2 linked regions of the Ovis aries genome follow. The protein of the gene in region 1 purifies or fractionates together with the protein of each later gene. This does not show direct contact. Links are inferred from orthologs where the notes say so. Each region holds a gene or a part of one and is shown on either strand. Other genes may lie near its edges.

Evidence for each region.
Region 2: the proteins of RRM1 (region 1) and RRM2B purify together in Homo sapiens (affinity purification with western blotting; 3 studies listed by BioGRID and IntAct, counting the BioPlex papers as one, with this or other methods). This does not show direct contact. The link is inferred for Ovis aries from reciprocal best matches to the Homo sapiens genes RRM1 and RRM2B.

The regions. Positions count from the first base shown.
Region 1 is NC_056068.1:49,759,416-49,762,915, forward strand, and holds part of RRM1 (ribonucleoside-diphosphate reductase large subunit), read right to left. Parts: intron 3,460-3,500; coding exon 3,380-3,459; intron 3,333-3,379; exon of another isoform or gene 1,236-3,332; intron 778-1,235; coding exon 576-777; intron 1-575. UniProt on the Homo sapiens protein: Provides the precursors necessary for DNA synthesis. Catalyzes the biosynthesis of deoxyribonucleotides from the corresponding ribonucleotides.
Region 2 is NC_056062.1:75,080,049-75,084,012, reverse strand, and holds the start of RRM2B (ribonucleoside-diphosphate reductase subunit M2 B), read right to left. Parts: upstream 2,801-3,964; 5' UTR 2,739-2,800; coding exon 2,691-2,738; intron 1-2,690.

The DNA of each region.
Region 1 (3,500 bases):
ATGTATCTGCTCCATCACAATAAACTTACTTTCCACTCACTGCACAAAACCTATCCCTGTCTCTCATCTGTCATACTGGCAGTTCTTCCCAAATAGAAAGCTTTTTCATAAACTTCTTTTTAAAATAACCAAATCTATATCCCATTTCCAGCCTTGCCTCTTCTGTGAATGGCCTTAAAGATTTGAGATGAGAATTTTGTCTCACATTCACTGAAAGGACTCTCATGCTTACATACTTTAAACTGAATGCACACTCTAACACATTACTGTGTTTGTCCTAACTCTAACCTAAATAATTATGTATTGCTATTTTTCTCAAGAAAAGATTATTACAACAATGTGTGTGTAAGAAAAAATCGACAGTCTTTCCTATATGGCTCAGACTAAAATATTTTTAAGGGCACACATTACACCTCTTCCTTCCTTTATAATCTATTTCAGTGCCCTTTTGCTTACATAAAGCTATGAACACTCCTTCACTCAACTCAAGGGAAATCAAGCGAGAGATTCACAAACAATTCACAAACTCCTAAGATTCTTCTCTCAGTACCCGAGGCAGAAGTTTTTCTACCTACCTCATCTTTGCTGGTATACTCCACTATTTCTGTGCACAGGTTGCTGCATTTGATGGTTCCCAAGTTCTGCTGGTTGCTCTTCCGATTACAGGAATCTTTGTAGAGCATGTACGGGGTACCTGTCTCTGTCTGAGACTCAATGATGGCATACCAAAGCTGCTGAGCTTTAATAACTTTGCGGACACGACCTTCTTTCTCATACCTGGAAGGCAAAGCTAGTATTATTTTAATATTCCCTAAGAAAATCTTTATTGCAGATAATATGAAGAGAAAATACCAAAATAAAAAATATTGAAAACTTAAATTTTTACTAAGTTTTGCTAAGGGAAAAAAATTAGGAATATGATACACACTTTACTATGGCTAAAGCCAGACCCACTAAATCAATAATACCTTCCATAATAAAAAGGAACAAAGACTGTAGTTAAATAGTGCCATTGTGCTACAGCAGTACTCTGGTGCTATTACTTAATGAACTTCTGACACCCGCATCCCAGTTGCTCTCAATTCCTGTATACAATACAAAAGCATAACTTGCTTTATCAAATGTACTTTATAACAAAGCAAATTAATAACCCTGCTAAATAACTCTGTATTAATTTTTTAGAGGATCTACTAAAATATGATTTAACTTGAACACCTATTTACATGTCCCAAAGATTTTTGTCTGTTTCTTAATAATTATCTTTTGTTATATTAAAAAAGAAATATTTCCAGGGCCTACCTGGTCTGCTCCTGCACAGAAAGAGTTAACTTTCAATATTCGATTATCGGGCTACTGGGATGGCTACTGGGATGCCGGTGGTAAGGAGAGGCAGATTGGGAAGATGGAGAGCGCTTAACAACAGAGAGGGACAAGCCAGTGTGTAACTGGGGCCCTCCCAAACATCCAAAACAGAAAACGGGGAGGGTGCCTGTCAGAGACAGAACCAGTGGTGTCCCAAGGGTTGTCACACTTCTGTTCCCCATGTCTAATGCTCTGGAGTGATCTGTCCTTTCAGACACCTGTGTGAGGTTCCAACGTTAGGATCCATTCTTTCCTCACAGTCCCAGCACATTCAACTCACAACCCAGTTTTTAAGGAGCAGCCCCACCCCAAGTAAGAGGAAAGCTGGAGGTCCTTCCTGAGAGGAGGGTATTCTGAGGATGAGCCACTCCTGGGGTCCCCCTTCAGTCCCTAACCAGACGGTAAATGTGGTGCTGGGCACCCCGTTCACTGGTGAAGACCTCAAAGATGTAGGCGGTGCAGAGCAGCAGTTCCTAGGTGTCTCTGATTGTCACCACCTGGAGGATGGTGAAGCTCTCCAGGATACTGTTCATCGCATGGCGCTCCAGCAGCTGCCGCAGCTCGTGAAAAAATTCACCAGGTGCTTGCACATGGGTGAGTGCAACATGTGGTACACAAACCTCCCATTCTCCATCAGGGCATGTTCCGTCTCCACCTTCTCCACCACCTGCTTGCCAAAGGAGTAGACCTTGAAGAACAGGCGAGGGCCACGTGGTCCAGGCTCTCATACTGGCTGCTCTCTCCACAGAAGCCACTGCTGCCGCTGGCAGCCCCACCTCCTCACCACTTGGGCCCCAAGTCAGGTCCACCCAGAACCTGACCAGGAAGAAAGTGTGGGTGGCCCTACGGTCATACAGCTCCTATAGCCCTTCTTTTCCAGGGAATTTGTCATAGATCTGTCACATGTCCACACTCTCGAGGCAGGGCACTCCAGGATTGGGGCAGCGCAGGCTGATGTGTACAAACAGGTGCTGTGACTGAGCAGTGCCCAGAGCCCAAGCCCACCAGGCTGGGGGTGATGTGGCAGGTGGGGGCAAAGCAAGGGGTAAGAGGGCTTAGGAAGCTCATACCCTGGCAGAGCAGTAGATGGAGGATTCAGTGACAAGGAGAACAGTCACTTTGAGAATGGCTTCACATCTGGAACATTCCAGGAGGGCCCAGAAGCCCCGGCCTAAAATGGAAAGGTTCTGGGGCCTGAGGACTGGTGGGACCCAGTCTGGCCTGCAGGGAAGGTGCTGAGATGAGGTGGACAAAGGACACAGTAGTCATTGTCTGGAAAGCCTTGTCCTTGGAAACCTGGTCCACATTCAGCGCCTTGAGCATCAACTGGATTTCCCCAGATTTCCCTTGGGCCAAAGCCTGGACATGACTAGAGACTGTTTGCAAGTTTAGGTCTTTCATGTTCTCAGTCTGATGTTGCAGGCAATCAGTTTATCACAACCATACAACTTGACTCCATTGAATAGGATTTTCCGCTGGCCACAGGGTAGGTAAGTGGCTGTGGCCTCCTGGAAGCTCTGCTCAATGTCTGTACTCCAGACACCCTCTGCATCTGTCAGGGCCCTCATTGCCCCCCACCCCCTCACTGCCCTCCTCACTTCCTTCCGTACTTCCTGTTCAGCCACTGCCATTGGAGGTGTTCCCCTACCTGGGCATCCTGGCCAGGGGGCTGGGGGTAGGTTTGTCATGAGTAATTTTTTTGGCCATGCCACACAGCATGCTGGATCTTAGTTCCCCAATCAGGGATCAAATCTGTGGCCCCTGCAGTGGTAGAGTGGAGTCTTAACCCCTGGACAGCCAGGGAAGTCCCTCCAAAGTTTTAAGAAAGACAGACCAAAATTTTGGTGAAGATTCAGGAAGAAAACATACTAAAACAAAATTACTAGTCACATTCTCTTCTAGATGCTTCTGAAGAATCCTAGAAACTAGGCTAATGATTGACATAGTTTTGAAATTTACATCCTATAAATAAAAGAAACAAGGTTAAAACATTATTACTTTTGTATTTTTCCCATACCTTTCATATAGCTTCTCAAATTCTTCTCCCCAGACCTCATCCAGACCAGGACACTCATTTGGACACATCAAAGACCAGTCCTGCAAAGGAAGAAGAGTACCAACCATAAGAAACTTCAAAT
Region 2 (3,964 bases), on another chromosome or scaffold:
TAATATGAACACGGGTACCATGAGAAAGAGAAATTGAATATCCATGTGTAGGCTGAATTAGAAAAGAGAAAATCCTAGGTTTTGGTAGCAACGATAGTGTCCATTTCAGAGGTGGAAATGACAGCCTGAATTAAGATGTAGTGGTTAACATGAAAAAGCTGCTTTGCCAGGGCGAAGAGCTGGGCAGTTTGGTGCAGGAATTAAGACCCTTTGGGGAGTATTTAATTGAGGGAAGTGGCATGCAGGCATAGGTTTACTGATGGATTAATTTGGCAGTGGTAAACAGGATTGGACAGCTGGTAAGACTGAAAGTAGACAACTAATTTGTTGTAACTGCTGTTTGCAAATGCTCAAGTGAGGAAAACGTGAAACAGTTTCTCATAAGCATTCCTTGGTAACTTTCCACTGTCTTTTTCAGAATGGTGCTTCCTGATTCTGGACACCTGGTCCCAAGAAGTGCCAGGACATTCGAGGGCAGCCATCTGGGTTAAGACTCCCCAGCTAGCATTCACCCTGCACTGATCTAGACTGGCATTCTACACAGCCCCTTCCTCCCATCCACCTCCAATTACACTACTTTCATTTGCTGGCCTTCAACTCTCTCTTTCTCCTTGGGTGAAGTAGAATGTTTGGATGCTGTCAGAGTTATACACTATTCGTAGGTGTTTTCATTTTCATTTTCCTATTCCCACCAAATCTGACAAAACAGGTGTACTACTGGTCCAGGAGTGAGAACTTGGTTTTAAACTTGAGTTGTATGGTCCTGGGCATATCATTTTGAAAACAGGGACTATCAGTTAGATTAATGATAGTTAATTTGGGGAAACTATCAAAATTTTGGACCCCCTTTCTCTAGAAATTCACAGCTGCACATATAAAACCTACACACTTCAGGAGATTCATAAACCCCCTTCAAGCTCATCTATAAATTCTTCAAGACAGTGTTCTTAAAATATGTGTCCCATGACCCAGTGGTTAAGACTGTGCTTCCACTGCAGGGGACACATGTTTGACCCCTGGTAGGAGTAGTTTCACATGCTGCTTGGCATACCCAAAACAAAACTGTGTACCAGGATCATCTGAAGTGCTTGTTAAAAATGCAGTCCCAAACCCATCCCAAGAGACTTTGATTCACTATATCTGGGGCGTAGACCCAGATATTTACATTTCTCACAACATTTTCCAGGTGATTCTGATGCAGGTGGCCCAAGCTGCAACAATATATCTATAGAAATAAAGTACTTAAGGCATCCTTGCATCTCAAGTTAAAAACTGTGAAACAGGTGCTCACTGAACTTTAGATCTAAAGTTCTGCCTCTGTCTTTGTGGGTCTGTACCAAGATAGGGGTAACAAAAATTAACTTCCAGGTCTTAAGTCTGAACTGTTGGAGCTACCACCACAAACAAAAATATCTGAATTGTCCCATTAGAGTAGGACAATGTTTGTTTCAAAAGAGGAAGAGAAAGTTTGAGGTCTATTTACAATTTGCTAGTTACTAAATGTTTACAGAGTCAAAATAAAGTAAAATCCCAAATCTGGAATCTACAACTTTCTGAAGAAATGTAAGAATCTCTGTGAATCTGAGAGCTGAATCTCTGTGAGCTGAAACTCTATTAAAAATAATCAAAGATACCACACACAGCAATAGGTTTAGAAGTGTTTACAACATAACAGGCTAAGAAAATTATAGCACAACAATTTTAACTACCCTACAGCTCTATAGACTCATGAATCCCAGTGTGTCGACTGCTGTAACGTACCTCTACTAATATAGAAGGGCTTCCCTAGAGGCTCTGACGGTAAAGAATCTGCCTGCAATGTAGGAGACTCAGGTTCCATCCCTGGGTCAGGAAGATCCCTTGGAGAAGGGAATGGCTACCCACTCCAGTGTTCTTGTCTGGAGAATCCCATGGACAGAGGAGCTTGGTGGGCTACAGACAGTCCATAGGGTCGCAAAGAGGCAGACACGACTGAGCGACTAACACTTTCACTAATATAGAAGCCAAGAAGATGAACACGGTTAAGGTAGGTTTTATTAAGCACCCACAACTTCCGTGGCACTTTGCATAAGGCACTTAATTCTTTATGAAGGAAGTATCATTTCCACTGCAGAAATTAAGAAAGTGGTACCCCCCAAAGATTCACAGCTCGTTTAGCGGGGTCTGAGTAAAACTGGTCTCCTAACCTGATCGTTGCCATTATTAGGAGGATTTCCCGAAGCCTTTCTACTGATCAGCTAACCCCATCCACTTGTGTTAGTTTCTACACGCTTCCTTCCAAGTCCTATTAACCATCCCAGAGATGGAATGCATTTCTCCAGTAGAGCCACTAGTCCTCGGCTCTGGCCTCAACCTCCCCTGCCAGGGCTCCAGAACAGGGGAGGATGGAAGAGGGCGCGCCTTGCCCGGATGTGAAGTCTCAGAGCACTGCCCTCGGGTCGCCCCGGAACAGAGCAGTGGAGCAGAAACCCGGCTCCCTCCTCACCCCTCCGAGGGGATGGCCTTCAGAGCGCTCGAAAAGACGAAACCAGGCTGCAGCGAGCGCTCGAGGCCAGGCCTACCCTGGGTCTCAGGAGGCAACGAGTAAAATCTACTACAGAGATCCTGCACCTTGCAGGTCCCCGCCGCAGCCCGCAACCAGAGGCCCGGCGTGACCGCGGGGCGGGAGAGGAAGCGACAGCGCTGTTTACCTCCTCTGGCTGGGGCCTGGCCGCTTCCGGCCTTTCCGGGTCTCCCATCGCGCAGACTCCGCCAGAGCTACCGGAGCAGAGGGAACCGAGCGCCTCGGGCCACTCCAACTGGGACAGGACCAGGTGGCCGGCGGGTGCTCTGAGTAGGCCCCGCCCCCTGGCGCAGGGACCGCTCCTACTCCGGCCGGTCCCGCCCCGCTCCTCGGCGCACGCCGATCCCCGCTTTCTCGCCTGCCCATTCAGGACCTGGCCCGACTCGGGCCTGGCCCCGCCTCCCCACTCACACTGGGACGCGCCCACTCCGACTGCCGGCCCCACTCCTCCGCGCCGACCCCACCTCCCGCCGCAGCAGGAGTAACAGAGTCTCGTCAAACTTGGCCCAGCGCCACTGCGCGGGCACCGCCTTCCGCCTTCTCAGTGAAGGTCGCTCCTTGAGCCTGCCAAACCCCGCCCACTGCACCTCGGGCCCCGCCTCCTCCGCTAGGTCCCGCCTCTCCAGCCGGCCCCGCCTCCCCTCCCGGTCCGCTGCCTTTGGCCCCTCCCGCGTCGCCGTCTTCTAGCCTCTCAGTGCGGGAGGTCCCCGGACCTCTTACTATCGAAACTGTCCAGCTAGTCCTCGCAGTGCGTTAGGAACACGGTGTATGTCGAGCTAAGTCGGCCTAAATTAAAAGGCGCTTGCTCCTTGGAAGAAAAGTTATGACCAACCTAGACAGCATATTAAAAAGCAGAGACATTACTCTGCCTGTCTAGTCAAAGCTACGGTTTTTCCGGTAGTCATATACGGATGTGAGAGTTGGACTATAAAGAAAGCTGAGAGCTGAAGAATTGATGCTTTTGAACTGTGGTGTTGGAGGAGACTCGAGAGTTCCTTGGACTGCAAGGAGATCAAACCAGTTCATCCTAAAGGAAATCAGTCCTGAATATTCATTGAAAGGACTCATGCTGATACTGAAACTCCAATACTTTCCCCACCTGATTTGAAGAACTGACTCATTGGAAAAGTTCCTGATGCTGGGAAAGATTGAAGGCAGGAGAAGATGGGGACCACAGAGGATGAGAGGGTTGGATGGCATCACCGACTCGATGGACGTGAGATTGATGCTCCGGGAGTTGATGAAGGACAGGGAAGCCTGGCGTGCTGCAGTCCATGGGGTCGCAAAAAGTCGGACACGATTGACCGACTGAACTGAACTGAATTCGGCCTGTCCTGAGAGGCTGCGGGTTGGCGGTCGGACCGCACACTGGAGAAGCTAAAGAGGAGAGAGCGAGCTCTT